Linked DNA regions of Sus scrofa. The protein of the gene in region 7 interacts with the protein of the main gene of each other region in a biochemical or structural test. Links are inferred from orthologs where the notes say so. Each region holds a gene or a part of one and is shown on either strand. Other genes may lie near its edges. The genes, in order: NEK2, TAX1BP3, AXIN1, MAGI3, ERBIN, HNF4A and CTNNB1.

Region 1 (4,490 bases), on a different chromosome or scaffold from region 7:
GTGGCTAATAAACAGGGGTTTGGGACTGGCGCATGCACACCGTGGTATATGGAATGATTGGCCAATGGGGACCTGCTGTCTAGCACAAGGAACTCTACCCGATATTGTGAGAATCTATACGGGGGGGAAAAAGCCTAAAAAAGAATGGGTGTGTGCATGTACAACTGAGTCACTCTGTTGTACAGCAGCCATGATCACGACGTTGCGAGTCAACTAGACGTCAATAAAGCGTTTCAAAACCAGCTACTAAAGGAGCTGTTCCTGTTTATTAAAACCCTTCAGAACTTGGTCTTCTTTCGATAAAAGGATTAGCATTGCCAGGAAAACATCACATGAAAAATGTGATGGGCACCGCGAGGACTGCTGATTCATATCACAAGTCAGACATATTAAAAAAAATCCACCAAAGCCAAAACAAGTTCCCTTCAAACTCCAGCAAGCTTTAGCTTAGATCAGGGTTCCCACGCGTGGCCCTGTTGGCATTTAGTCCTGGGACTGTCCTGTGCACCACGGGGGGCGGGGGGAGGGGGTTAGCAGCAGTCCCGGCCTCTGCCCACTAGATGCCAGCAGCACCCTCCCTCCAATTGTGACCATTAAAAAAAACTGTCTCCAGATGTTGCAAATATCCCCTGGGGGGGGAAACTGCCCCCAGAAAGAACCACTGGCTTAGTCGGTCAAATGAGATGCAGAGCAAAGTGCCCCCAGCCCTGGGGAGCTAACGTTCTCATGCCTGCCCTCCAAACCTGTGAGCCGTAAACACAGACTCCCTCCAACCAAGAGATGGGCACATGCCAGAGACTAGGAAAACTAAAGAATTCTTTTATTTAGTCAGAAAGAGGTGGCACAGGACATTCACAGAATAAAAAGGGGAAAAGCACACAGACATCACAGAGATGAACTCTTCCACAGAAGGTCACAGATTCACGCCCCAGAGCAACGGGATGTTTACACGCGAGATGCCAGCGTATCAGTGGCCGACCAGGTTTTCTCTAAGCTCAAGAACATTTAAAAACCCAGACTTAAATTTTCACTCTAGACAGGACAGCTGTAAAGCACACCACTCAGTCCTTCAGACTTCACAGTAAGCACTGCTCCTGAGTAAAGATGTTTTCCTACTATCCCCCCCAATTCCCAACACTTAGAATATAACATCGAAGGTTCCAGAAGTAATCACACAGAGGATGAAAAGCCCAGTTGGCCAAGACAGTCATTCTGTCTGTAAAGCCTTCTTAGAAAAAGAAAGACAAATGCACGGGGTGGACGCTGGCACACCTGCCGCCGAGGAACAGCAAAAGCGACCCCGAAACATCAGGCTTCCTACAGAAAACGCACGGTTCACGGCAGCACGCGTGTAGGCCGCGGCAGGGGAATGCCAGCCTCGAAGGGCGGGCAGTGTTAGACCCGGCTCGCCGCTCGCTGTCTCTGGGCCAGGCTAGCGCATGCCCAGGATCTGCCTGCTTTTCAGCTGGTACGTTTTCTCAATGTCTGCCAGGGCCTGCGCCCGCAGCTGAGCAGCATGGAGCCTCCTCTTCAGGTCTTTGCACTTGGATTTGGAGCTGAGCTGACTCTCAGGAGTCTCGCTCCTTGCGACGTTCTCCTTACTCTCCCCGCTGAAGTGAACCTTCTTCTTCATTCCCGAGGTCGGAAGATCAAAACGCTCTTCAGGGAGGAAAAAGAAGAGGGTCTGAGTTACGTGAACAGGAGTTCAACTCCCCCGTACTTGGCAGACTCACCGCAACAGTCACCCTGTCGCTTCACACGTGAACCCCGGGGACCGGCTATTCTCTCTGGAACCAGAGCGTGACAATTCAGCTGAGGAAATACTCAAGATCTAACTGGTTTTACTCAACGATTCATTTTTTTGGTTTTTTTTTTTTTTTTTTTGCCATTTCTAGGGCCGCTCCCACGGCATATGGAGGTTCCCAGGCCAGAGGTCCAATCAGAGCTGTAGCCACCGGCCTACGCCAGAGCCACAGCAACACCAGATCCGAGCCACATCTGCGACCTACACCTCAGCTCACGGCAACACCGGATCTTTAACCCACTGAGCAAGGCCAGGGATCAAACCCACAACCCCATGGTTCCTAGTCGGGCTCGTCAACCACTGAGCCAGATGGGAACTCCTGCTCAACGATTCACGATGCTGGCAGCATCCTACCTACCAGACAGAAAGCCCTGAGGAGCTGTGCAGAATGAAAGACCTTTACGGGCAGAGGGGACGGGATGAGGAAGTCACTCTAGCAGGGAACAGATCTGCGTGGCAAGGTCACCTTAATTCAGTGGACAGCAGGTGTCTACCAGGCAGATGACCTTACTACTGCTGACGAGGTCATGCCAGATTGACTGCTTTAAGATTCCATTCCTGGGAGAGGCAGAACCTGTAATTAAGTTAGGTATTAAGTCTTGGTTTGGTGACATTTGGTGATAACTGACTCCATTTTGGACCTGTTATCTCTTTTGTAACAGGCTAGGGGCATAGGTTTGGCAGAAATCAATCAGGCTTTTAATCTGCAGCCAAAAATCGAGGAGCATATGTTTTATTCTCCTAACACTCAACCTTCCTGTTAAGGTTAAATGCACAGAGGATCACAGTCTCTAGTATGAAACGTCTGGAAAGCAATGTTCTTTATCTCTATTCTTGAAAACAAGTGCCTTTCTGCCTACAACGCATGACTCCCAGGAAAGCATGGACGCAGAAGCTCTTCCTTACAGCAAAGCACCTACAGTTCTGGCGAAATACTTAAGAACACTTAGAGCGGCTTAACTGCCCAGAAACTTGTTTCAAAAAGAACCTAAGCCAGGGTGGCAGGGTAAAAGCAGAGGCAACACAGTAAAAGTTAATCAAGTTAATAGTGAGTGAAGATGTGAATTGTACTTTTAACATTTAAAAAAAAAAAAAAAAAGAAAGAATTTCCTTCAAGTGTCTACACTATTAGGAACTGACAGGTTTGAATTCTAGAACAAAAAGGTTCTTTTTGTTTTTCCTTTGTGTTCATGTAAAGGAAATACGGTCGAATGTTTACTGAGCTCACTGCGTGCCGCTGGGGACCAAACAAAGGCCCTGTTGTGGTGGGAGGAGAGAGACCACAACAAACAAACAGGTGCATGTGAGGAGTCTCCGAGGGGATGTGTGCTCTGGGCGAAAAGGAGACAGATGCAGGGCTGTTTGCAGTCATGCAAAAGACCTCGTAGTAAGACGGCTCCTGAGCAGAGACCTGAGGAGAGGGAGGAAGTAAGAAGCCAGCCGACTACGTGGAGAAGAACATTCCAGGCCAAAGAACAGGAGGCGCCCTGCAGGAGTGGGCCGCACAGAGAAACACTGCCTTCGCCTGCCTGACTTCTACTTCCTACACTGCTTCTCCGCCAGCCTTTCAGGAGATGGCTTTTAGGCCCTAAGTCTATGGTTTCAAACAGATCCACCTTTATGACCTCAAATACCTGAACATTTGTAAACCAACAGTATAAACTGTAAATCTTACTGAGATAGTTTTGTAAGAAAGAAAAGGGTTTAGAAAAAAAGTTAGCATTTCTTTTTTGTTGTTGGCCGCCCTGTGACACATGGAGCTCCCGGCCCAGGGATCAGATCCCAGCCACAGTTGTGACTTAAGCCACAGCTGTGGCAACACCGGATCCTTAACCCACTGTGCAGGGCCGGGGATCGAACCTGGATCCCAGCGCTCCCAAGACACCACCGCTGATGCTGTTCTTGCTACAGCAGGAACTCCTTGAATTAGTATTTCATTAAACGAAACGAATTAGTATTCATTAAATAGACTAAGGAGAGCTTTAGAAAAGATGCTCTTAGTTTATTTGTTTTCCTCGTGTCTGAATTGCAGGACCCAAGGAGGGGAGGAGGACCTTCCCAACTGTCCCGAGTTCATAAGGACACTGCCCCCCACTGCTTTGTTGCTCATCTGGGGCTCGGATGTGCTCAGTACTTTAAAATATCTCCTACCCACAGTGGATGCTCCACCCTACAGCTCATTTTCAGTAATTGCCGCGACTCGCATACAGGTAGGTTCCTCTACCCACGGATCCCACAGAGTGAAACACACCGTCCTTCTTAGCTTTTCACCCTTTGCTCAAAGACGCTCGGGGCAAGATGTCGATAAACTCTATAACTGGAAGATCTGTCCCCAACGGCGCCCTTGATGATTCTTGGCAATGAGCTTGATGCCTTCAACTCACCCAGTTAAAAATCCCCCCTCACTCTATCGATCATGATTTAAGTGTAGTTTGTCTTTATGGATGGCAGTGTGGAATCGAAGAAAAACTGAAATAAGTATAAAAATATTGAAATGTTAAAATAGCAATAATGAGGGAAAAAAAGATATTTACTGCCATCACTAATTTCATTTCTTTCTATCACTTATTACAAAGCATATGTAGATATTAATCAATCGCTTTTTCTTTTATTGGCTGCACCCACGGCACATGGAAGTTCCCGGGCCTGGGACTGAACCCGAGCCGCTGCAATGACAACGCTGGGT
Region 2 (4,676 bases), on a different chromosome or scaffold from region 7:
GCTAGCAAAGATAAAAAACGAGTTGGGGGCGAGTGGGTGTAGAGAATGTGGCCTGTGTCTCCAGCAGCAGCCTCAGGCAGCTGGGTAGGCTCGGAGCCATGCCACAGAGGTGGGGCCCAGGATCTCCTGCAGGAAGCCAGCTATTCACCAGCCTGGGAGGCTGGGGGGTTAAGGCTCAGAACTCAGCCACACCAACCCACCCACACAACCCTTCTCCCTAACCTCTCCCAGCTTCCTACGTCACAGGTACCAGCCTTCTTAACACAGACTAAGCCCCTCCTGGCTCTTGAGCCAGGATGCTGTGGCTGTTCCGGATGGGGTCTTTGTCCCAGGGGAGGGAACACAGGGGCAAGAGGGGTCAAGCTCTGAACAAAACATGTAGGCACCTTGCTGAGGCCAGCTCAGATTGCTAAGCCAGCCCTGTTGAGGGTGAGACAGGAGATGCTTTAGAACAGCGGGGATCAGACTTGCACAGAAGGGAGGAAGAGCTGTCCTGGCCAAGAGAACAGGAGCAGAGGCTCGAAGGTGCTGTGGCTACATTTCCTTGAGACGGGAGTGTATGGCACAGGACCAGAACCGGGAGGCGAGGTAAGGCTGAGGCGAGATGCATTAGACTGGTGAGTGCAGGGCCAGGAGACCAGCCTAAGGGACAGGACATCTCCCTAAGCCCCGGGGCCCTGCTATTGTGCAGTGTAGGAGGTGGATGCAGGGCCCAGGGCACCCTCACCACACGGTGAGATTGTGGACCCCAACGGTGCCAGGCTCCTTTCAAAGCCCTCAGCAGGCACCTTCCAGACCAGATGACCACCCCACACCCCCCAAAGTTGAGAGTTTTAACAGGAAGAAGGAAAAAACAAAGTAAAAGGCAACTGCATGTGACCTGATCTGGATCTGAGGGGCTTCATGAAGGAGGGGCCGTTTGTACCAGGCCTTGGGCTGACCAGGAGTTTGGCCACCTGACCTTGATTTTGGACCCACTGGAGCTCCCAGGAGTTGGGGAGTAGGGCTGACGGTAGATCATGGTCAGGTTTGATGCTGAAACGACCACCCAGGCAGTAAGGCAACAGATGTCTCACAGAGGTGGGACATCTCCGGATGGCCCATCATGCAGAGGCGGCAAGGGGAGCACCCAGCCAGCCATCTGGCCCCGCCTGGCTGAACACAACCATCTCCCAGATGTGGATCCCAGAGAAGGAGCATGTTGAGCTGGAGAACCAAGAGCTGTCCAGGTAGGTGTCCAGAAGGTGGACGAACCTATGGACCCAGAGTTCAGCGAAGAGGCCAAATGGTTTTAACACTGTCACAGCGTTAAGTATGTGGGAGAGGGCCTGGGGTAGGGAGGAGCCTCTTCCACCCCATCCCGGATCCAGGACACAGGAGGGAGAAGCCAGGCCCCACCCACCATATTCAAACATGTTCCTAGAGAAGAACCAGGGGGTCATGGTCCTAAAACTTAGAGGAAGGCCCAGGGGCCAGGAGAGACATGTGAGAAAGGGGAGCAGGAAGCATGACACCTGAGGCCTGCAGGACCTAGGTCCTCGTGTGTAAGAGTGTGAGCTCCTCCAGGCCTGCTCCACCTCTGGGGACACCTCTGACCCATCTCCAAGGTCTGGACTGGGAGACAAGGCCCCATCACTGACCTCCTGGGTGAGGTCAGGGAGGCTCCTGCCTCTTTGGTTCCCCACCTGCACTCCCTTTTTTCTAGCTAAAGAGCAAACCTGACCCCTTCTCTCTGGGGCAGCTAGAAGGCTGGAAAAGCCAAGCCGGTGCAGCCAGGGTGAAGCTGAGGACAGCTGTCAGCAGTCCAGGCCTGAGCTGGTGTGCTAAGCTCACCCTCACATGGCAGCTTTATCAGTGGCTCCCTGGTCACACCACCTGGCTGCTGGAGTCCCCAACACGCCCATCTGGATACTGCAGCCAGTGGCAGGGCCCTTAGGGCTACGACTTCCATCTGACCCATTCCTTGCCCAGCAGGCATTTCTGCTCAGAGATCTGGGTCCTTCTTGAAGCCTTCTTTACATGGCTGGGCATGGCCAGACATCTCTCTGGGACTCAATTTCCCCACCTCAGCCATGGAATGGGTCTCCAGGCCCCATCCAGCTGTGACATTGGCGTCTGAGTCTAATGTCCCAACTTCTCTGCCTATTCTCATAGCACTTGGCACCCAAGATGAACCAAGAGGGCAACCAGGGGCCTGAGCCGACCCCGAAGGGTCTCCTCAGGCCCCAAGTGCCAGGAGGGTGACCTGGGCTTTGCCCCAAGAGTTGTTTGGGGATCCAGGGAAAGTTCGGAGCGGGATCAAGTCAGTTGTATGAGCCTTCACTCTGGACCGACTGACTGTGCGTCCGAGAAGGCAAGGCTAGATGGGAGGGGTTGTAGGACTGTTACTCAGGCTCCGGCTACCTCCACCCGCAAGTCTTGGGCGGCGGCGCCGGCTGGAGCGGAGGAAGCACTTCCTCATTCCAGAGGCTGCGACTCATGGACTTTGGATCCGGCGCCCGCCCCCCGCGGCTACCCAGCTGGGGACACAGGCCTGGGAAGGGGACGCTTCCTAGACTCCCACAGCCGGGGCCTTTTCCCTCAGTAAGAAGAGTCCAGAGCGGCGGCGGCGGCGAGCAGGATCTGGCCTTGATCCCGGGTCTTCAGGAAGCTCGTGGGTCCCAGCCACCTCTTGCCTGGCTGGGGAAGACCACGGCTCCTGTCCCGCAGAGCGGGAACCGGAGCTCTGGCTGCGGGTTTGCAGGAGTCCCGGGTTCGACGCTTTGTCAACCTGTTTGGTGTATCAATTTACCTATCTGCAAAGTGGGGGCAAGCCAAAACTAGGAAGAGCCCGAGCGAGCGCACTCACCACCACGGCGGTGACCGGCTGGCCCGGAATGTAGGACATCTCGACCCCAATCTGGAAGCCAAGCGCCGCTCCCCGAAGCCTGCAGCGAGAATCCCGGTGGCCGCGCCCTCTCTGGTTAACAAAGGCTGCACGGCCCAGCCCGCCCCCTTATGAATAGTTAACAAGACTCCAGCGAATCACCTGCCGGAGCGCTGTCCGGCTCTCGGAAGTTCCCGTGCGTGCGTAGAAAAGCGGGGAAGTGGGTGGTGCGTGCTTGAGGCGTCCTCAGTGCGTGCGCCAGAGGCGGAGGGGGGGCGGGGAGCGAGGCCTTGGCGCGTGCGCAGCCTGGGCCTTCCCAGCATCCTCTGCGCAAGATGGCGTCGCGGGAGTCCCTGCTCTAGGCTGTCTGAGGGAACGTCGAGTGACTACCTCCGCCGCCGCGTTCCAGGTAAGTGGCCGAGTCTAGGCGGGAAATGCAGCTATGCGGCCAGCCGTCCCGAACCCTCAGCTTTCTCAGCGTTTTTCGAAGGTCCGAGACGCTGGGGGCGGGGAGGTGGTGCGAAGTCTTGGCAGCCCTAGGGAAAGGGGCGGCGTGAACCCAACTCGCCAGGCTCTGGGCGCTACTTGTAACGTGGTTCTCTCCGCAGCCCCGCGTTGCTTCGGGAGAAAGCAGAGGCCGAGTCCGGGTGGGTGCGATGGCCGCTGTGGTGGTCAAGCGGGAAGGGCCGCCGTTCATCAGTGAGGCCGCTGTGCGGGGCAACGCCGCCGTCCTGGATTACTGCCGGACCTCGGTGTCGGCGCTGTCGGGGGCCACGGCCGGCATCCTCGGCCTCACCGGCCTGTACGGTTTCATCTTCTACCTGCTCGCCTCCATCCTGCTCTCTTTGCTCTTAATTCTCAAGGCGGGAAGGAGGTGGAACAAATATTTTAAGTCGCGAAGACCTCTCTTTACAGGAGGTCTCATTGGAGGCCTCTTCACCTACGTCCTGTTCTGGACATTCCTCTACGGCATGGTGCACGTCTACTGAAAGGAGGGCAGGGATGACTTCTTTTTGAAAAGCAGATTGGGAGGACGGTTGCCGGAAATTAACAGCGTGTAGACTTACCTAGTTTTTAAATTGTTGGATTCGCTGCTTGTTCTGTAACGTTATGAATAATTTATATCTGAAGACGAAGAGCCTGTACTGTTCTTCAGATTAAATGAAGCGTGAGACCCTTTGTGGAGTTTTTTTCCTACCTTAAAGCGCCGCGCTCCGCGTCCCCGTCCCCCCGTCCCCCCCCCCCTCCCGCCGCTGTGGGTGCAGAATCGCCGGGTTTTGACTCTGGGAGAGCTCTCTGACTGCGCCTTAGCTTTCTTTCATTTCCTTGCATTGACACATGGGCTATTCGCAGAGGGGTCACTAAGGCCTAAATAAGAGAACTTATTAACATCCCGAGAACTAATAACAGTCAATACTTATTAAGTGTGCTCTATATACCAGGCATTGTACTGCGCACCTTTCACACTCATTTCTTTTTCTTTTTTTTTTTTTTGCTTTTATTAGGGCCGCACCTGTGGCATATGGAAGTTGCCAGGCTAGGGGTCGAATCAGAGCTGCAGCTGCCGACCTACCTCACAGCCACAGCAACTTGGGATCTGATCCGCATCTCTGACCTGCACCACAGCTCATGGCAGTGCCTGGATCCTTAACCCACTGAGCGAGGCCAGGGATTGAACAGGCATCCTGGTAGATACTAGTTGGGTTTGTTACCGCTGAGCCACAATGGGAACTCCTACACTCAATCTCATTCTAGCAGTATTCTTATGCAGTAGATTGATTCTTAGCCCCCACTGATGAATCTGAGGCTC
Region 3 (4,006 bases), on a different chromosome or scaffold from region 7:
AAAGACACCGAGGAACCGCAAAAGCGTATTAAGAGAGAAAAGCTAGGAGTTCTCGTTATGGCGCAGTGGTTAACGCATCCGACTAGGAACCATGAGGCTGCGGGTTTGATCCCTGGCCTCGCTCAGTGGATGAAGGACCAGGCGTTGCCGTGGGCTGTGGTGTAGGTCGCAGACATGGTTCAGATCCCGAGTTGCTGTGGCTCTGGTGTAGGCCGGCGGCTACAGCTCCGATTCGACCCTTAGCCTGGGAACCTCCATATGCCGCGGGAGCGGCCCAAGAAAAGGCAAAAAGACAAAAAAAAAAAAAAAAAAGAGAGAGAGAGAGAGAGAAAAGCCAGCGTGAACAGGCTGCACGTTGCACAGCTCCAACTACATGGCTTTCCGGAAAAGGCAAAGCCATGAAGATGGCAAAAGCTTCAGGGGCTGACAGGGGCAGGGGCGGGGGCTGGAAAGGACGCGGAGGCAGAGCGAGACCACCCCATGCAGTTCTGCGACAGACACACGTCGCACACCTTGGTCCAAACCCACAGGACGGACCCCACCGCTGAGGGGCCTGGAGTGCAACCACGGACGGCGGGTGGTCATGCCATAGCTTTGGCATCTGAGACAAATGACCACTCTGCTGCGGGAGGCCGGTGACGGGGGAGCCATGCACACGTGGGGACACGAGTGTGCGGGAAACTGCGGCACCTTCCTCTCAACTCTGCTGGTGACCTAAACCTGCCCCACACAAGATCAAGTCGAGGAGTTCTCGTTGTGGCTCAGTGTAGCAAACCCGACTAGTATCCATCCATGAGGATGGGGGTTCAATCCCAGGCCTCACTCAGTGGGTTAAAGATCCGGCGTTGCCGTGGGCTGTGGGGTAGGCCGGCAGCTGCACCTCCGATTCGACGCCTAGCCTGGGACCCTCCATAGGCTGCAGGTGTGGTCCTTCGAACAAACAAAAAGAACACTGTCCTGACCAAATATGAACACTCTCAAGTTAGATTTAGATTTTCTTTTTTTTTTTTTTTTTTTTTTTTTTTTTGTCTTTTTGCTATTTCTTGGGCCGCTCCCGCGGCATATGGAGGTTCCCAGGCTAGGGGTCGAATCGGAGCTGCAGCCACCGGTCTACGCCAGAGCCACAGCAACTCGGGATCCGAGCCGCATCTGCAACCTACACCACAGCTCACGGCAACGCCGGATCGTTAACCCACTGAGCAGGGGCAGGGACCGAACCCGCAACCTCATGGTTCCTAGTCGGATTCGTTAACCACTGCGCCACGTAAGGTTTAAAGACCATGAGGAGGTCCCGCTGTAGCTGCATCCTGGGAGCACTGGGAGGCAGGTTCGACCCCCAGCCCAGCACAGCGGGTTAAGGATCCGGCACTGCCGCAGCCGTGGCAACTGAGGTTGCAGCTACGGCTCAGATCTGATCCCTGGCCCGAGAACCTCATAGGCCAAAAAAGAAAAGAGAGAGACAGTGAGAAAAAGGCAAACGAAAGTCACCTAGGACAGTGTGTCTGCTTCCCACCCCTTAGAGAACATTTCAACCCTCAGCACATCTAGCCCTGTGTTTGTTAGCAAGTAACCACTTTTTCTGCCACGAGAAGATTGAAGACGGGGTCCGGGAGACCAGCGCCGGGAGACTCGCCTGCATCATGGGGTCGCTTTATTAAATGCCAGCCTTTCAGCACCTCGCAGGCCAGGACGGGGAAGGGAGGGGAAGGGCTGCGACCGGCGGCCACAAGCTCCGGCCAGAGACCAAACAAACTGCCAGGAACCACAAGAAAGAGAACCAAGAAACAGGTTTCCAAAGTCCCAGCGACTTGCCAAAGGCACCGCTCCTGGCCTCCCAGCTGCCTTTGTGCCCACAGGCCACGACCATGACCACAGCTTCCGAGTCCCGGTCTGGGCAGGAGAAAGGGGTGGTCCTAGACCCACAAGCGCAGCCACAGGAAGTTCCCACGGGGCTCGGACCGCCTGCGGCACAGCAGCCTCGCCAGCAGCGCTTCCCGACCTCTAGGAAGAAGCTCGGGGGACGACCCGGAATTCTCCACGCACCGACGCCTTTCAACGTCCAGGCCTCCGCTCTCTGAGCCCCAAGGACCGCGGCCACCAGGTCAACACCCCTCTGGGCGAGGGGACACACACGGGACTGCTAAGGGTTGGACGCCACGTGGCGTCCAAGGCAGCCCACATTCCCAGCGCCTTCCGAAGCCACTCGGGTTGGGGCTGTTCTCGCCAAAAGCACCCTCCACCTGCCAGGCTCTGCACACCGTGTGACCTCGCACCCCGGCACCAGGCGTCCCGCCGCTCTGGGGCCAGAGCCGAGGGAGCAGCCCTTTCCCAGGCCAGTCCTCCAGTGCCCGGAGGCGAGCGTGGGACGGCGGCCTCGCGGGGGACTCACCTGAACTCTCTGCCTTCGCTGTACCGTCTACTCGAGCAGGCCCGCGGGGCGGCGGTTTCCAGCAGCAGCAGCGTCTGCGTGAGCCTGCCGGGCGGTGCGGGGTCTCCGGCGGCCTCCTCGTCCGCGCCTCGGTCGCACGTCCACTCCTCGTCCTCGTTCAGCGTGGGCAGGTATCCGGGGACCCCCTTGCCCGTGCCTGCCGCGGAGCCCGGCTCGCCACAGGCCTTGGGGCTCTCGGCGCCCGCGCGCGTGCACTCAGCGTAGATGTCGGACTTGAGGAAGGCGGGGTAGGTGTTGGCCTCCATGCTCGACTGCACCTCGGTCTGCGCCTGGTCGAACATGGCAGGGTCGATCTGCTGCTTGGCGATGCAGTCCTTGATGAAGCTCTTGGTGGCCGGCTTGGTCTGCCTGGACACGACGCCACCGCTGTCGAGGATGTACCTGCGGTAAATTGCTCGGGCCAGCTTCAGCCTCTTCTCCTCGTTCGAGTCGCAGGGCTCCAGCTTCCTGAAGCCGCTGCAGGCGAACCAGAAGTCCAGCAGGTCAGCGCAGTGCTCCTGCCTCAGGAAAGTCCGAAACAGGTTTATCCCGTCCTGATCGTCGAGCAGGGAGTGCAGCGACTCGGCCCACTTCAAGTACGGCGGGGTGGGCGAAGCGCTGCCCTCGGGCTCGTACCCCAGGTCCAGGTCCGAGCGCCTCGGCGTGGCTGTCGAAGTCTCCCCTTTAATCCCGGCACCTTTCCCAGAGCAGAAGCTGTGGCTGACGGGCCTGGGGTCTGTGGACACCAGCTCCCCCTCCTCACCAGGCACTGGGGGCCGGGGGGCATCTTCGGTGAAACTTGCGCCGAGGTCCAAGGGGAAGCCCTGCTCCTGGGTATTCATTTTGGGGCGCTGTGCGTCAAGGCGCAACGCGCGCTGCACCCTAATACATCAGTACTTACGGCTCCCAGGGAATCACTCTGGCCTGTTGAAACCATCAAGAGGACAAGGATTAGGAACAGTGGGGCCATGGAGACACGACCACAGAGGTTTTCTCAGACAAGCCTCGCAACGACGCCCTCCCGCTCAAAGCCAGAGACTCGGCTTAAATTCTCACTCTGTTTTTTTTCCAGAGGCCACACCCACAGCCTGTGGAAGGTCCCGGGCCAGGCATTGACCCCGCGCCCCCAGCTATGACCTGCGCCCCAGCTGCAGCCACACGAGACACTGAACCCACTGCACAGGGCCGGGGAGCGACCTCGCACCACCGCAGAGACAGCCCGGATCCTTAACGTGCTGCGCCACAGCGGGAACTCCCAAATTTTCAATCTTTGTCACCGGTCTTGTACCACGTGAAAACAATGTCTGGAAAGCTTTACAGCTCTAGGCACGCCTCTGGCGCTAAGGGATCAATGTCCCATGCCACTAGCTACAAGCGTCATCCTGCGAGAACAAAGAGGGACGGAAATAAAGCCCTGCCAGCATACAAACAGCAGGCGTGGATCTCCCCGCCACCCCGCCACCTGCCCCCATGCCTGCATGCGCACATTGCACACACTTTGAGGGCCGGCAGCTGTGGGGGGCTAGAGGAAGCACCCAGAGGTGGAGGATGGGTCACGGTTATGGACGGCTCTGCAGC
Region 4 (4,006 bases), on a different chromosome or scaffold from region 7:
TGAGCGAGACCAGGGATCGAACCCGCAACATCATGGTTCTTAGTCGTATTCATTTCTGCTGCGCCACGATGGGAACTCTAAGGCAGGACTTCTTTGTAAAGCAAGAGGGAGCCTCTGAGAGAACAGCTCCATAAAGCCCTGGGTAAGTCCTACCTCCCCACTCACTGAATTGAATTCCCAGGGAAGATGTTTAAGGTGATATTCGTTCTAAGAAAATGAAACAGGAAGTGTTAACTCTAATTTAGGTTATAAAGATGTCACTGTGAAAACCCGTGTGGCCCATTCAAATGTATCACGAAAAACTGCCCCACACCAGGGAATCAGATTTGGGATAACAGAGTAGCCTATTTTCACATGTTCCCATTTAGATAGAACTTGCACAAAAGAAGAGCTCAGCAAAATGACCTCTCTAATAAAACTTTAAAAATGAAATTCAATAAATAGCCTAAGAAAAAAATACTTTGAGAACAGCTTGTTATCCTGATTCATGGTTAGGAGAGGGAGATTACAGAAGTTTGTGATAAAATAATTAATGTGACTAGAATGCAGGAGCAGGAGTTCTTGTTGTGGCTCAGCGGTAACAAACCCGACTAGGACCCATGAGGACGTGGGTTCGACCCTGGCCTTGCTCAGTGGATAAAAAAGGATCCATTGCTGCAGTGAGCTGTGGTGTTGGTTGCACATGTGGCCTGGATTCTGTATGGCTGGGGCTGGGGCGAGGGCCAGCAGTTGCAGCTTCGATTCAACCCCCAGCCTGGGAACTTCCATGCGCCGCGAGGGTGACCCTAAAAAAAAAAAAAAAAAAAAAAAAAAAAAAAAAAAAAAAAAAGACGCAGTAGCAGCAGCTTGTTAGGGAGGAGTGAGAGGACAGCCTCCACAAAGTGCTGTGTCCAAGAGGCCCCTACACTGGCCCGGACCCAGTCAGAGTCCACGTCCTAAGACTGCCAGAAGCAGTGAGAGGTCATTAGAGACGTTCAGCAATTATAAAGCATCATGGTTGCTGTGTCTGCATTGGCATCTGTTACGAAATAGATACAGTGGCACAGGAGTTAAAAATGGTTACCAGGGGACCAGAGAAATGGAGAAAAACACAGTGCAATTTTAAGTAAACAGGCAAGAGAATTTCTGCTCACTGGACCTACGTGGGACAGTCTTTACAAGTGCTGAGTGTTTCTTTCCTTTGACCCATAAAACAGCAAATCTGTGGCAGATCCTATTTGGTGGGCTATAGAGAATTAACCCATTTTATGTCTGATGGCCTTTTGTTTAGTAGCCTAAGGTTTATGGTAATGGAAGACCATCTTTCAACAAAAGACGACAGACCTCAAATCAAGCAACTTAGGATTCTATACAAAACTGTCTTTATATCCATCTAATTGTGGATATTTAAGTTGGCACACATGTGTACCAGGCACAGTTTCTTTCAAAGCATTATCGGTGGACTATCGGTGGTATAGGCTCCGAGAGTCTTCCAACAGAAATACCCAACCAGGAGAGCACGTCTTCTCTCTAGGGGGCTTTTTCTAACTCACAGGCTTCCCTGGTTTCTGATACAAGCCCGGCGCAGAACGCCTCCTGCCTCCTCCCCATCTGTCATCACCACCACCACAAGCTGCCCTCACAGAGGGCAAAGTGGTATCTCTCTCCCCGTGATGAGAAGAAGCATTTGAGGACCACTGCGTATACTCACCATTTTGGCAGTTTTAGTTGGTGATGGAGGACCTTAAAAAAAAATGAGCCACATTTTAAAAACAGAGGAAGCATTGCCAGATCACAAATACTGCTATGTTTATGCTAAAACTAGCTTTGACTTTTAGTAGGCGAGTCAATTATGTCCAACATGTGTTCTACGTGTCAAGGGTTAAGGACAATCCTAAGGCATAAATGTTACTACCGTTTTATAAAGAAAGAAAACAAAGACTCAAATAGATGAACATCACTTTCCGCTCCTGCTGAACTAATAGGTAATAAGACAGGAAATTGACACCCAATTTGTTTGACATCAAACCCTGGACTCGGACCTTTTCTGGGACACTGGGTAACTCTCCAGCCCTCACAAAGGGATCTGTACCTACTCTGAGCGCATTCTACCGTATCACCCAGAGAAGAAGCAAAAAGGGTTCAAAGAAATGAGAATAATGAAAAATGCCCCAATGAAGCTAAACTGCTCATGTGCCTCAAAAAATGAAAACTAAAAGCCAGAGAGATACATGTGAAGGGCTAAATTTTATTCTTTAAAATGTTAGTCATTCACAGGTATGGATTTAAGAAAGCCCATTAAAATGCAACTTTGTGATTGGTCCTTGGAACTGGATTGATGTCTGGGAGCCGTTCAAGTCAGCTGATGACCTGGGAAAATAAAATTGTATTTCTCTCATATGAGCACTGTGGGGTTTAATTAACATTTATGAACAGATACTAAAGCTTAAGATAAAAGTTTTATGAGCACAAGCTACCATGATTGCTTTTACAGAACAGATTAACACGCCAGCCAACATTTTGCTTATTCACAGAGATGCTATGCTCTTTCAAAACATCTTTGGTACATTACAGAGGTCTGGATCAAGTACCAGTGGTTGAAAGAGTCCATTCCTATTATTGCCATCAACAGAGAAAATGAAATTAAGAAGATATATTTTGCTGAAGAAGCACAATGCTGTGACTCTCTCTAATCATTAAAGTCATAGATTAGATTTTTAAAAAAAATATAGAGGGAAAGAAACCCATAATGGACACAATGAAGCCACTAATAACTAAAAAAGAAAAAAAAAGAAAAAAAAACTGCTGCAAAAGATACTGCTTATGGAAGCAGTCGGGCAGAACTTAAGGAAAATGCACACTAATTACCAGTTAAGCCTGCTGGAAAAAAAGATTCTGACCTGTAGTAAGGAAGGACAGCGAGTAGGTATAAATCTACGAACAATGAAGCTTTTTCCTTTTTGTGCTTTTACTCACCTCCTCTTAAGATAAGCAATGGTACATCTGCACCTACTGGAAACTGCTTTAGCACCTCTACCACTTGGAGATGTGTTAAATTCTGCACATTTTGATGGTAAATTTCCTTAATTATATCCCCTTTCTGTAGGCCTTGACACCACTGGCTATCCAGTATCATTTTCACCTTCTGTCCAGTGGGGCTGTCAGCAATTGCAAACCCAAAGCCTTTAGGGCCCTTAATCAGAGGGATAGTCACTAGTTCAGGCTGGGAGCTGCCTGATGATGCCATAGATGCTCTCTGCTCACTCAGATCTACCGGTCCATTGAGACGATCACTGATCAAGGTGTGTCCCGATTTGCCATTCTGGTCCAGAATCACGGCTCCTGACTTAAACTCCTGAGTACTCATGCAAGTCTCTCCCTTCGTTAACGGCTGTCCATTGATGACAGGAGTAGCAGCAACAATGTCCACGACCGGATCTTCATTGTCATCAGGAAGTGGATAACCACGACATAAAGTGAGGTTGACATACTGATTGACGGGTACCAACTGAAACATCTGGACAACATCTGCATGGGTGTGACCAAGGACACAGTTGCCATTGATGTCGACAATAACATCACCTGGTAAAACATAAGTCATGTTAATATATTAAAACTATCAAGTGAATTTTTGTTGTTGGAAGAGTCAAAAATAACTGAAATTCAGCATCTAAATTTGGATCCTAGAAACTTCTTCCTGGACATTAACAACTGAAAAGATAGCTTTTCAACATAGATATGCCATTCTCCCTTCTGTGACTCCTCTTTGAAAAGAACATATAAATGCATACATTCTTAGTTTTCTTAGTGCCAAAGAATCACGACCTCAAGCTCGAGTGAATCTTTAAAAAAGTAACTGAAAACTCCTATTACCAATGTTGGTATATCCTTTGAGTCATACCAAAGTGGCCACACAAAGCTAGGCGCATTATAGTAGGTATTCAGTACACAACAAAGGAGCAAATATTCCACTGGCTACTTGCACAAACAGGCAATCTTGAAATCCTACCTTATTTCTTGATTTTAA
Region 5 (4,728 bases), on a different chromosome or scaffold from region 7:
TTTTCTATAGCAAAAAATATGTATTCAAAAACTAAATTATGAACAGCCAAACACAGGTACAATACATATATTGTCAGGGGAAGAAAGGCATCGTTAAGGACTTTATATTACATGTGTTTCCAGGAAGAAAAACAAGGCATGTGATGGAGAAATGGATGAGCAAGGAAAAGAATCAAAAATGCAAGCACCAAGTCTGTTTAAAGAGAATCTAGACAACTAGAAATTACAAAAAAAAAAAAAAAAAAATACTTTCCTATCTAACATCACTAAAACCTACAGAATCCCAAATACTTCATAATCACTACCATATTTATCTACAGGCAATAATTTAAAATAAATGCATAAATATGCACTTAATTTTCTGAAATTCTTGTCTCTTAAAGTGAGGTACTGTTTACTGCCATGAGCTCACTACCAAAATCTCTAAAATACCTGAGTTTTAGACATTTACCAATGATACACATCAAATGTCTCTAACTGTAGTTATTGCTTCATGAAGAAAAAACAAGCAATAAAAAATTGGTTCCCATATTGGAACCTCTGTAAGCTTTTTATACATGAAAAGTTGGCAATAATTTGTTCACAAACAGTAGGGAAACTTCATAATATCTGAATTAATTAGTTGAAAGATTAAGTTTATCACTTTTGAAAACTCCCAGTACCTTTAACAAACAGGGCCATCAAGTGCGCATTTTCTACAAACACCTTGGAAGTACTCCAGATTTGTGAATTTAATCTAAAAAACCCACAGAATACTAAGAAAAATATCCAAAATTTGAAGCCATTTTAAAATATTTTTATGACCATTTTTTAAACTTATTTTCAAACCACTGTCAAATTTTAAACAAAACTTTGAAAAATATTTACAGTTTGACAACAGTATAAAACCTAAAATTCATTAAGTTAATCCAGTGCTAAACTAATAAAATAAATAAACCTCAAAGTAAATTTTGCCTTGTTGAGGGGAAAAAGGAATCAAAGACAACTACAAAGGTGAACATCTTTTAAAACATGTTGTCTGCATCTATACATACTATGCTCCCTCAAGAAAAAAAATCAAGAGCTATATCTAACAACAGGCATTTAAATAGGTATTTTTGAGGACTATAATACTTCTTTCAAGTAAAATTTCCTAACACAGAGAAAGGAACACTTTCGCAAAGTGATAATTCTCTATAAAAGACTTGCTCTATTAAGGCTTTGTTGCTCTGAAGCCAAGTATAAACCATATAAGGAAACCGAAGTTCAATGCCATTTATTTTGTTCCCCTCTTTCAGATGCCCAAGAATAACCTCTTTCGTTGCCTAATTTTAAGTTCTAAAATCATAAAGTAGATCACTTACATACTTTAAATTATTTGATAAAGCTACTTTCACTTAATAGGAATTACTTGATGGTTCACAAAATCTTACCAACAATTTAAAAAACTACAAAATTGTTTTTAAAAAGGAGCTCCAGAGACTAAGCTCCAAGAAAAAAAAAAATCAAAACAATATATAGTAATAGTTAAAAGACCCCCTTTTTGAAACATACTTAATTTGAAGTAACAAAGAAAAAGTTGTGAAATTATTTGAACCTACTGTTTAAAACCTACCTTGTCTCTTTTTGGAACTAAAGAAAGCCAACCATTTTTCTTGTGGTGGCAAGGGCAAATAAATATTAATTTACATTTAAGATATATCTACAAACAAAATACCACGTTTATTTGACATTTATTCAAGAGCAGAGTTTATCTTTTACCTCCCTTTACCAAAAAAGCACGGGGGGGGGGGAACCAAACTTAAAAAGACACTCATTAAAAACACCACAGAAGAAACCGTCTGTGTCTGCAGCAACCAAAACTAGTTTGATCTATAAAGACTACCGACTGGTTCAGAAGTGTTTATATTTATAACTGACTGGTGGAATGTCACCGTGCTTCACTTAATCCCTGCCCCCACAGCAGATACTCATCACTTATTAGGTGGCAGACCCGGTCAAAACATTTGGGCCAACAACAACAAAAAAATGTAAATAATGTGCTAACCAAAAAGCACAGCTATTTATCACAATCACTGTGATGCCCATGAACACTGTTTTAAGCGTTTTACTTCCTTTCCTATACATTCAGTTCCGAATTGCACAGAAGTCCTAACAAATCAAACCACTTACAGGCATTCATGTTTGCTTTTTAATCATCACTCTTTAGCCGTAACACTTTTTCTCCCTACTAGGTCAGTTACAAGAAAAATCTTGTAGACAGTAGCTTGTAGACAACACCAAACAAGTATTATAAAGTTATAAATGTCCGAAAAGAACAAGTTACTGAAGACATATATATTACCCACCTGAAAAAACGACTAAGAACGGCAAAGAGTTTTTTGTTTATAAAACCCAATGAAACACAGTCATAAGAGTTGGAACTAAATAACTCCATATACATTTAAATGCAAAAGCAAAATAATCGGTAACAGTATAAACAAATACTGTGGCAGCCATCTCAACAGCAGCCGATTGCTCGCCGCAGTGACCTAACTTTCATCCAAAACAAAAGTTGTCAGGTTCAGCAACTTAATAAATCAAAAACATACATTGTATATGTTCCGGGAAACTAAGATTTCTGGACCTTCTGCTGAACAAAGGCATTCTTTCCTCGGAATTGCTTAAAACTTTTCGTCCCACCGCATTCTTACAACCTCTTCTAAAATGACCAGGGTCCAGATGGTAGAAAGGAGAATAAAATCAGTTCTACTGCTTTGCACCTAAATCACTACCCCGTCCGACAGGAGAGAGGGAGAATTTAGGGCAACTTGAGAAAAAGTGGAAAACACTAAAGTTTCCTCTCTTTCCTGGCCGGGGAGCTTTGTGACTCGCAGACACTTTGGGTGAAAATTACCTTTCGGTCGGGCAGTGTCTCAGGACAGCTTTTTCAAGGCTTCGCCTGACATGATTTCCTCCCCTTCATTAGTCACTTCGGATCCAGCCGAATTTCTCTCTCCGGTGAGAGCGGATGTGGAGTGGCCTCCCGCAGTAGGAAGAGTAGGTGGCTCCGGTGGGGGTTGGGAAGCGGGCTGGCTTCCTGGTCTCGAGTTTTGCAGGAGTTTCCCAGCCCCAACTAGGATCTCCGTCGAAAAAAAAACTTTTCACTCGTGACACCGCCCGGAATTACCGTGCGAAACTCACTTCCTGCCTTGGCGAGCAGCAGGATCCAGCTCGGTCCAGGGGAACCCGGAAAACCAGCTCCACGCGCGTCGGGCGGGGGAGGGCAGGGGGCGTCAGCCGAGAGCCTGGGACTCCGGGCGACCCGCGCGCCCCGATATCCGACGGCAGGCGAACCTGGCCCGCGGGGGCAAAGATGCCACCGGGGCGCTGGGAGAGCCTCTGCCGCGCTAGGCCGCCGCCGCCTCCTCGCCGCCACCCCCGGAGCCGGGCGGCGGGGTTATTGTCTCGGTAGCGCCTGCCGCGCCCTTCGCCCGCGCGGCCGCAGCCGCGGCCGCCCGGAGCCCGAGCCGAGGGGCCGGGCAGGCTCGATGGCGGCCCCCTCCCCCGGCCGGCCGTCGGGCTGTCCGTCCTTCCGTACGTCCCTCCCCGCCTTCCTTCCCTGCCCTCGAGCCCTCTTCTCCTCCCCCTCCTGTTTTCCCGCCACCGTCCCCTCGCTCCCCTCCTCGTTCTTCTTCCCTGGCGGCGGTGGCTCCCCCGGGAAGCGCAGGGGGTGGGGGCAGGCGGCGGCTTCGTCTCCTCACAAGCTCGCGGGGCCGCGGCAGGGGCCGAGACTGCGTCCCGCGCCGCCGCGCCACATTCACTCGAGCGAGAGACTGCGAGGGGCGGGGAGGGGAGGGGAGGGGAGGGGAGGGAGGGAGCGGAGAGAAAGGAGGAGGAAGGGGGCTGGGGCGGAGGGGAGTTACTGCCTCACAGGCCGCGGAGGCAACAGCGCCACCGCCCCGGCGGCGAGGGGGGAAGAGGCTGCGCGCGGCGGCGGCTCCGCGGCGGGGGCGGGGCGGCCTCCCGCCCGCTTCGCCCCAACCTCCAACAGCCGGGCTGGAGGCCGGCGCGAGCCAGTCACCGCGCGCGGGGGCGGTGCGGGCCGACGTCGGTGGCGGCGGGGGGCGGCGGCGGCAGCGGGGGGTGATAGTCTTGGGGGCCCGGGAGGCGGGGCCGGCGGCCGGGGGTTCGCGAGCTAGGTCCGGCGTGAGGCCAGCTCTGGCCCAGGCCCGGGAGGCCTGCGTGCTGCTCCCCAGCCGCCCAAGGTGGGGATGCGGGCGAAGTCGATCCCGGCTGCCCTGCGCCCAGCCTGGAAGAAGAGAGTCCTTGGAGTTTCCGTCGTGGCGCAGTGGTTAACGAATCCGACTAGGAACCATGAGGTTGCGGGTTCGGTCCCTGCCTTGCTCAGTGGGTTAACGATCCGGCGTTGCCGTGAGCTGTGGTGTAGGTTGCAGACGCGGCTCGGATCCCGCGTTGCTGTGGCTCTGGCGTAGGCCGGTGGCTACAGCTCCGATTCAACCCTAGCCTGGAACCTCCATATGCCGCGGAGCGGCCCAAGAAATAGCAACAACAACAACAAAAAGACAAAGACAAAAAAAAAAAAAAAAAAAAAAAAAAAAAAAAAAAAAAAAAAAGAAAGAGAGTCCCTAGGCCTCCTCCACTCCTGCCAATTGAGTTTCTTTGTACAGCAGTGATCGGTGCGAAGGGTTCAAGTCCAACCCCGATTTTAAGCCTGCAGGTATCTCTTTCAACTGCAGCACTCCAACT
Region 6 (4,006 bases), on a different chromosome or scaffold from region 7:
ATCACATTCCCATTTATGACATTTCTCATTCCACAGGGTCATTCTCAACCTCAAGGTGAGAGTGGCTCAATCCCACTGAAAACAGGGTAGGGGAGAGAAGGAGGGCACTTGCCCTTCAAGAAAGGCCCTCTGTGACCTTGAGAACCACTGTGGTCTGAGTGAGAGAGTCATGGCGCTGTGGGCAGGAGGGGGCTTGGGGACCACCCACCCCTTCATCAGGACCACAGGCCCGGCTTTCCCAACATGGCTCATGAACTCAAAACCCACAAGATATAACCCAGAGAGGGAGGCAGAGAAAACAGGGGCTCAGAGGTAGAGTCAGGGAGGGGACACCGCCAAAGCCAAGTTCCCCTCCTTTCTAATTGTCCCAGGGAAGGCTAGGTCTCAGGATCCTGCTGTGGGGTGGGGTGGGGTGTGTGTGTGTTTGTACAGAACTAGACCAAGGGTTTTGGCTGGTGTGCCACGGCAGCAGGCTGGAAGTGAAGGTCTGGAGGCCAGTCCCAGGGCTGGGAAAGCCGAGTGGAGCAGAGGAGACAGAGATTTGAAAGCGCGCTCAGGTTACTCAGAGAAACAGTTAAAAGACGTTTACTTCCCGAGCTTGGGCTGAAAAACTTTTAAATGTTCTTGGGGTCTGGAGGGCCTCGGAGACCACACCGAGGTATTGTCCAAACAGCAGTGAATTTGAATCCAGAGCTCTGGGTTCAAACCTGGAAGCTTGTTTTGAGCAGCTGTGGGGCCTTGGGAAAGTTGCTGAGCCATCTTGGACCTCCGTTCCCTCGTCCATGAAAAGGGGGGTAGGGGAGTTGATAATGTGCCAGCCACACAGAGTTGTCATAAGAATGGAAAGCCCAGCCAGGTAATCAGTGTCTGCTGGTGGCAGGAGGCCGGGAGAGACCCGAATAAATGATGTACCCCACTGTCCCCACTGCACCCAGGGAGAGTCTGGTACCTTGTTCCCATTCCCTGAAATGTGAGAACCCTGGATCACCTGATACCCAAGAACGAAGACTGAGGAACTGGGGTGCCTGTTCCCGGGACAGGAGGCTCAGGAACAGTGCCCGCACCCTGCCCCCATTCACATTTGCTGACTCTGGGTGGTGGGTCCATGGATGTTTATAACCCTGTTCTTCACACTTTTCCTGATGGTGGAAATAGTGCATTAAGAAAAAACCCCCAGCTCAGTTGCCTCGTGGCGGTGACGGCAGGCAGGGGTGGTGGCGCTGGGAACCTGAGTAGCTGAAAGTGGGAGCTTATCTCTTGGAATCTTTCTCAAGACCAAGCCCAGCCCCTCCCTATGGTCAGACTTTCAGGCCCTCCCTCCTCTCAGCCATTAGCCAGTGTCCTGGGGCCTGTCACCAAGTCATAAAATTGTAGTCGCTGTTGTAAATGGCTGTCAGGAGTTTGCGGGCGCGGGTGGGGCAGCGGGGTGGACGGGGGAGGGCCGAGGCTCACCTTCCTTCTTCATGCCAGCCCGGAAGCACTTCTTGAGCCTGCAGTAGCGGCACTGGTTCCTCTTGTCTTTGTCCACCACGCACTGCCGACTAAATCTGGGGAGGGCTTTGGATGGTTGGTTGGAGAAGGGACCACCCTCCCTCTCCCAGGACTGAGCTAGAATCCTGGTTGGCTCCTTGAGCCCCCTGCCCCCCTGCCTCCTTGCCCAAACCCATCATCCCAGGAGTTCTTATGCTAACCAACCAGGAGCTGGAAAGGCCCTGTGCACGCCAGGAGTTCAACCCTGCCCCACTAAACAGAGAAACTGAGGCTCAGAGAGGTGACAATGGCCTCAGATCACTCAGCTGCAAGTCCAGGGCACTGCTGTTTCCACTACATCCCATAACCGCCCAGAGTGAGCTCCTGGTTATGGATCAGAATCAATACTCGGTCCACATAAGCTGCTTTCTGGAGGGGGTTGAGAAGTAGAGGCAGGACCCACAGTGGTTAGGGATGGGGAGTCCACCCAGGCCCTGCCATTGATTCAAGCTGGGTGACCTTGGGCACATTCCTAATCCCTCCAAGCCACGACTTCCTCATCTATAAGATGAGAAGAACAATGGTAACCAGGGCAGAGGGGTGTTGACTGGTGAAAATGGGATCACACCCAACTGGGCCTTGGCAGAGTATCGTTCATAGTAAGTGCTCATAACTGACAGCTGCTGTTATTTTATTATCGTGTCACCTAGAATGAGAGATGCTCTCGAAGAGAGAGCTCCAGGGTCTTGAGAGAGGTGGGAAGACCTGGGATCAGTGCCCTCTTTGCCCCAGAAAAAACCCCAGGTTGGGGGACGGGCCTCATCCTCTGAGGCCTCAGAGGAGGCTTGATCCTAAGCTTCAGGGGTCCCAGTTTGCTAAATGAGGAAAAATAATGGGGAACTGATGGGAATAATTAGCACCCGCAAAGACTTAATATGATGCCTAGCACATAGTAAGTGCTCAGTAAAAGGCAGTTGATAGCGTTATGATCAGTAAATGAGGTTTCTAGAGTAGACATTCCCGTCTGGGTCTGCAAGAACTAAGCAATCAGAAGAGGCTTGAAGGCCTTGAAAGGCGGATGCCTCTGGGACCTGGGCAGGGAGAAGACAGACCCTGGGGGACATCAGCCCAAATATGCCCGTTTCCCAGCTGGAGAAATCGAGGGTCCTCACCTGCAGGAGTACATGTGGTTCTTCCTCACACTCCTCCGAAAGAAGCCCTTGCAGCCGTCACAGCTCGAGGCCCCGTAGTGTTTGCCTGTGGCCCGGTCCCCACAGATGGCACACAAGGCGCTGACACCCAGGCTGTTGGGCGCATTGAGGTTGGCACCTTCTGATGGGGATGTGTCTGTACCAGAAAAGAAAAGAGTGAGGACGCAGGAGGAGCAGCACGTCACCTCCTGGAGGCCTTGCTCTCTTGCCGCATCGTGGGGGTCTCCCCAGGGCTTCAGCCTCAGCTAGACCCACATGCTGCTCCTATTCCCTCAAAGACCTCGGGCGAGCCCCAGAGCATTTTGGAACCTCCATTTTGCATCTGTAACTTATGGATGGTTGTGACATTGACTTTGCAGCGTTGTTATGCGGGTCTGCTCTTCTCCATGGCAGAGACCTCTAGCCCCAGCTTTCTCTGGGAAGTGACAAACACCTGGCTGGCTCCTAGGATGCATCCAACCCTTATAGACCCCGATTGACAGGGCGGAGGGGGCTGTGGGGAGGGGGCTGTGTTCCCCCAGCATCTGCCCAGAGCCTCTCTGGGTGACCAGGACTGGGTGGGTCTCAGCTTGGCACCCAGGGGCCTGCAAACTCCCCCAGGGAACAGAAAGACATACATCAAGGACAATGGCTTCTTTGTCCTCCTGGGAGGATCATGTCAAGGATCTGGGCATCACGGTAAAAGCTGCTGCATCCATATAAATGTGAGGAGGGGGAGAAGAGACAGGTGGCTGGGGTCCTGGCTGCTAGTGCTGCCACTAACTCTCCTGTCACCTTGGGCCAGTTCCTTTTCCTTGTTTCAATTTCCCCTGGGCCTCAGTCTCCCTAACTATAAAAGAGGGCAGTTTGACTGGTCCAATTTATTTTTCAACTCTTAAAGAATTTTCAGCAGCCAAACCCTCTTTTTTGTAAGCGAATCTTCTGCCAAGGAAGATGACAAACACTATGAACCATCTTCCCGGAAAAATGCCCGCGTACACAAACCACACAAAGTCAAAAACACACACGCAATGTCATAGAAACTCTGCATCCGACCTTGAATTCCTAGGGAACATCTAGCTGAGAAGTGGAGAGGGGAACAGGGCTGTAGGTCAGAGCCCAAACTCCGTAGCCCTTTGCCAGGGCGAAATCCCAGCTCACCCTCTTCTTAGCCGTGTGGCCTTGGCCGTGTTAGTTTACCTCTCCACATCTTCATTTCCTCACTTATAAAATGGGAAACGAAATAATCCCTAGGGCTGTTATGAAGATTCAGTGAATCAGTCTGTGGGAAGCGCTTGGCACGTATGGGCATTTGTGAAATGTAAACTTTTCCAACGCCGGGGGCA
Region 7 (4,006 bases):
AGACTACTTCCTTGGGAGTTTCCTTCAAAGTAGATTATTAAGTCAGCCATATCACTACTTACCTGGTCTTCATCATTTAGCAATTTTGTCAATTCGGGGATTGCACGTGTGGCAAGTTCTGCATCATCTTGATAGTTAATCAAATTTACAACTGCATGTTTCAGCATCTGTGATGGTTCAGCCAGACGCTGGACATTAGTGGGATGAGCAGCGTCAAACTGTGTAGATGGGATCTGCATGCCCTCATCTAATGTCTCAGGGAACATAGCAGCTCGTACCCTCTGAGCGCGAGTCATTGCATACTGTCCATCAATATCTGGAAAAGGTAAATTCAACACTCACTATCCACAGCTCAGCATGCACCTGAATATTTGCTATCCTAAATGGTGATGATGACATTGCAATCACTCCCTTTTCTTTACCACACCATTTTATTTAAGCTATTATATGCTAACTTTCATAAGAATAACTATTTAATTATCAAAACTGCATTCTGACTTTCAGTAGGGCAATAATACTCTTACCAGCCACTTGTTCTTGAGTGAAGGACTGAGAAAATCCCTGCTCCCACTCATATAGGACTTGGGTGGTATCCACATCCTCTTCTTCAGGATTGCCTTTACCACTTAGAGAAGGAGCTGTGGTCGTGGCACCAGAATGGATTCCAGAGTCCAGGTAAGACTGTTGCTGCCAGTGACTAACAGCCGCTTTTCTGTCTGGCTCCATAGCCATGTCCAGCTCCATCAAATCAGCTATAAAAATCAAAAGCATTAGTATCACTACTAGGAAAATGGTATCTTAATTTGAAAATAAAAATCTGTGACAGGACCCACTGAAATCTTTTTAGAAATAAAGTCAAATCTGAAGATAGCCAAGGAAAACAGAATGATGGCCAGGATCAGCTCAGTGATGAAAAATCTATACTCTTAGGGGACCACCTAACAGTTACTCACTGCATCAGTGGAAGAATGGTACTGCATCCAGGCTCCAGAAGCATTCATCCAGCCTAGATTCCTGCTGCTGGCTTGTTTGCTATTTCACCAAGCCATTAGGAGGAGTGAGCAGAAAATGGAGCAAAGGGTAGCCTGACAAGTAAGCAGGGAGAGAGGAAAGCAGGGGAATCTGAGCCAGACTGGGTTAATGGCAATGAAGCAGAGCCCCAATTCAGTAACTAAAGGCTTATGATACAAACCTTGGGTAGCCATTGTCCACGCAGGATATTTAAAGCCGTAGTATGGTGTATGTACTTCAGAGATCCTAAAAGAGTTAATCAAAGGTCATTAGGATTTAAAATTAGTTTGATTTTAACACTCATTAAGCCACTAAACATCACGCACCACATCCACAAAAAGCCCCAAGTCCTCTTTTACCATGTGATATAGTGAAACACACACCTCATGGTCTCCTCCACACACCTCAACTACAGCTCTATCATTGCTGAACTTTTAAGAGAAAACCTCTCATTAATAAGCACTTCTTTTCAGTAGAAATACAAATTACAAACATACAAGATGTCAAAAAGCCCAACTATTGAAGACGTCAAAGAAAACACAGACACTGTAGTAATGAAAGCCAGAGAGGAGAAAAAACTACTCCAAATCACCTCCTCCTTGAGTTCCAAAGTCCTCCCCTCTCCCTTTTTAACTTCTTTCACTGGAAAAATTCATAGGTCTTCTTCAGACAATACAGGTCCAATGGGATTTTAAAAACACCAAATTTTCATTAAATGAGTCAACTGTTATTGTTTTCTTTTCTGATATAATACAGTGACATCCAAAATACCGTTATAAAACAGATTTTGGTGACTGGATCAGAACTGGAGATTTTTTAATAAGTAAAATTACCTTTTCAAGTGAAAGTTTGCGACACAAACTAAAAGTACCGTTTTTAGTTAAGTTTTTCAAGTTCAAATTTATAGCATAATTTATTACAAATACAAGTATTACTAAATAGAATGCTTTGATCAATGTAAAATCATTTACGTGTGTGTGTGTGTTTGTGTGTGTGTGTATAGAAAAGCATCTATATGTCTGCATTTTGGCTTTACTGTGTCCAAGAAAATTCAGGAAAACAATGAATTACACAGGGAGCTATCGGCAAATGAAACCATTTAAAGGGTTCACGGTGTCTAGATATTCCTAATAACAAAATTTCCTTTATTACAAAGTCTGCCCCCTAAACAAGTTCATCTTGCACTACAAATTAAATATTAGATGTAGATTACCAATGTGGAAAGATATGGACTAAGATATTTAAGTGTGAACTGTGTTTTCTATCAATGTGCAAAAATTTAATTATGTTTCATGCAACTAGAAACTACTCTGAAGTCCTTTTCCTCTATGTAAAGGAAGCCTGTGTTTATTATTTCTGGAATTGCTCTTCTAAAACTAAGTTTTTACAACCACAAAGACCACTTGACACCTAAAGCTCACAAGAGCTGTGTTGTGAGCCACATGGGAAATCCCACAAAAGTTGTGGATGCTATGTGTCCACAGTAAGAACAACTGACAATTTACTTCTAAGGCAGAAAATAATAACGATAATTCCTGTCAAGAAGAAACTTCTATTTTAAAATCTGGTACGACATAGGATTATGTGTTTAATGCTTCCATTCAACAGGACGGGAGTGGAGCGTAGAAACCTGCACTTTAATGAACATTATAGGATGCAGAAAGTGATCTTCAGACCACACTTTGAGAAAAACTGATGGAAGGAACCCAGGTTCTCTGTCCACTGAGGCTGTATTTTAGCCTTTATCTTTAGACTATCTTTGTGACTGGCTATTTAACCATTTCTCTACCCCTCTGAAAAATGGATTCCCCACTCCAGCTCACAATATGCTCCTGGGAAGGGGAATTAAGTGTTCTACAGTGAACTCCTCTGGCCAATGCCATAGAGCTCAGAAACCTACTAGTCACATCTATAGGCTATGCAGCTGTGTTAAAACATGCTGGCATCAAGGAAAATAACATTTATAGCATTTTTTCCTTGTTGATACAAAGGCAAAACATATTAACCACGTTATTACTGGAGAAAATTTAGGTGGGCTGAGCTAGTAATTTGACCATGATTTATGATTTCATGGAATAAAGCAAATTAATGTTCAAAAGTTAAAATATCTATTTGAATGTTGGGGACCTCTTAATATTATTTTTATAGTACTTTCAAATTTATACAACATTATGCAACATACAAAAAAATTATCCGTGCTCTTCACAGCAACCCTCTGAAGTGACAGAAGGTAAATGTCAATCAGCAGGTAAAGAAGAAAAAGTAAGAATGAAAATGGATCTACCGAAGTTTCCATTGTGGCTCAGTGGAAACGAATCTGACTAGCATTAATGAGAATGAGGTTCAATCCTTGGCCTTGCTCACTCAGTGGGTCAAGAATCCAGTGTTGCCATGAGCTGTGGTATAGGTCACAGATGCGGCTCGGATCTGGCGTTGCTGTGGCTATGACGTAGGCCAGCAGCTATAACTCTGATTCGACCCCTAGCCTAGGAAACTTCATATGCTGTAGGTGCGGCCCTAGAAAGACCAAAGAAAAAAAAGAAAATGGATATACCTAAGCAGAAGCATATACCAACCTACCCCTGCGCTGTTCTGAAGACAAATCCAGATTTACCTTAAATCTGATAATTACTTACTAAAGAAATTGAGTATGCTGTCCGGAGAACCAGGGCAGAATCTCACCTCAAAGGAAAGCTTTCTTCATTCTTCCTCTGGGCAGAGCTTTCAGGCCATGGGTTGGCCCCCCTCCATTTCCCCTGCCAATCATTAAGGGCCTAGAGCTCCTAATCAGCTAAGGCTTGCCAGGAAAACCACACTCCAGAGAAACAGAACTTAAAAATCAGGATAGGAGTTCCCGTCGTGGCGCAGTGGTTAACGAATCCGACTAGGAACCATGAGGTTGCGGGTTCGGTCCCTGCCCTTGCTCGGTGGGTTAACGATCCGGCGTTGCCGTGAGCTGTGGTGTAGGTTGCAGACGAGGCTTGGATTCCGCGTT

What was found.
Region 1: the proteins of CTNNB1 (region 7) and NEK2 form a complex in vitro, tested with the Homo sapiens proteins (2 studies listed by BioGRID, with this or other methods). The link is inferred for Sus scrofa from reciprocal best matches to the Homo sapiens genes CTNNB1 and NEK2.
Region 2: the proteins of CTNNB1 (region 7) and TAX1BP3 are reported together in a solved structure, tested with the Homo sapiens proteins (2 studies listed by BioGRID and IntAct, with this or other methods). The link is inferred for Sus scrofa from reciprocal best matches to the Homo sapiens genes CTNNB1 and TAX1BP3.
Region 3: the proteins of CTNNB1 (region 7) and AXIN1 form a complex in vitro, tested with the Homo sapiens proteins (2 studies listed by BioGRID). The link is inferred for Sus scrofa from reciprocal best matches to the Homo sapiens genes CTNNB1 and AXIN1.
Region 4: the proteins of CTNNB1 (region 7) and MAGI3 form a complex in vitro, tested with the Homo sapiens proteins (2 studies listed by BioGRID and IntAct, with this or other methods). The link is inferred for Sus scrofa from reciprocal best matches to the Homo sapiens genes CTNNB1 and MAGI3.
Region 5: the proteins of CTNNB1 (region 7) and ERBIN interact in a test that uses a peptide from one of them, tested with the Homo sapiens proteins (2 studies listed by BioGRID and IntAct). The link is inferred for Sus scrofa from reciprocal best matches to the Homo sapiens genes CTNNB1 and ERBIN.
Region 6: the proteins of CTNNB1 (region 7) and HNF4A form a complex in vitro, tested with the Homo sapiens proteins (2 studies listed by BioGRID). The link is inferred for Sus scrofa from reciprocal best matches to the Homo sapiens genes CTNNB1 and HNF4A.

Annotation. Positions count from the first base shown.
Region 1 is NC_010451.4:131,556,835-131,561,324, reverse strand, and holds the end of NEK2 (serine/threonine-protein kinase Nek2), read right to left. Parts: intron 2,379-4,490; coding exon of another isoform or gene 2,272-2,378; exon of another isoform or gene 2,271-2,271; intron 1,660-2,270; coding exon 1,433-1,659; 3' UTR 798-1,432; downstream 1-797. UniProt on the Homo sapiens protein: Protein kinase which is involved in the control of centrosome separation and bipolar spindle formation in mitotic cells and chromatin condensation in meiotic cells.
Region 2 is NC_010454.4:49,756,025-49,760,700, forward strand, and holds the start of TAX1BP3 (tax1-binding protein 3), read right to left. Parts: upstream 3,003-4,676; 5' UTR 2,888-3,002; coding exon 2,849-2,887; intron 2-2,848; coding exon 1-1. Other genes in the region: EMC6 (ER membrane protein complex subunit 6), read left to right, coding at 3,523-3,855. UniProt on the Homo sapiens protein: May regulate a number of protein-protein interactions by competing for PDZ domain binding sites. Binds CTNNB1 and may thereby act as an inhibitor of the Wnt signaling pathway. Competes with LIN7A for KCNJ4 binding, and thereby promotes KCNJ4 internalization.
Region 3 is NC_010445.4:41,347,463-41,351,468, reverse strand, and holds part of AXIN1 (axin-1), read right to left. Parts: exon of another isoform or gene 3,353-4,006; 5' UTR 3,271-3,352; coding exon 2,390-3,270; intron 1-2,389. UniProt on the Homo sapiens protein: Component of the beta-catenin destruction complex required for regulating CTNNB1 levels through phosphorylation and ubiquitination, and modulating Wnt-signaling.
Region 4 is NC_010446.5:106,920,778-106,924,783, forward strand, and holds part of MAGI3 (membrane-associated guanylate kinase, WW and PDZ domain-containing protein 3), read right to left. Parts: intron 3,562-4,006; coding exon 2,956-3,561; intron 1,723-2,955; coding exon 1,691-1,722; intron 1-1,690.
Region 5 is NC_010458.4:44,414,274-44,419,001, reverse strand, and holds the start of ERBIN (erbin), read right to left. Parts: upstream 3,014-4,728; 5' UTR 2,876-3,013; intron 1-2,875. UniProt on the Homo sapiens protein: Acts as an adapter for the receptor ERBB2, in epithelia. By binding the unphosphorylated 'Tyr-1248' of receptor ERBB2, it may contribute to stabilize this unphosphorylated state.
Region 6 is NC_010459.5:46,823,749-46,827,754, reverse strand, and holds part of HNF4A (hepatocyte nuclear factor 4-alpha), read right to left. Parts: intron 2,818-4,006; coding exon 2,643-2,817; intron 1,548-2,642; coding exon 1,453-1,547; intron 1-1,452. UniProt on the Homo sapiens protein: Transcriptional regulator which controls the expression of hepatic genes during the transition of endodermal cells to hepatic progenitor cells, facilitating the recruitment of RNA pol II to the promoters of target genes. Activates the transcription of CYP2C38.
Region 7 is NC_010455.5:25,191,377-25,195,382, reverse strand, and holds part of CTNNB1 (catenin beta-1), read right to left. Parts: intron 1,264-4,006; exon of another isoform or gene 1,258-1,263; 5' UTR 1,206-1,257; coding exon 1,193-1,205; intron 753-1,192; coding exon 525-752; intron 317-524; coding exon 63-316; intron 1-62. UniProt on the Homo sapiens protein: Key downstream component of the canonical Wnt signaling pathway.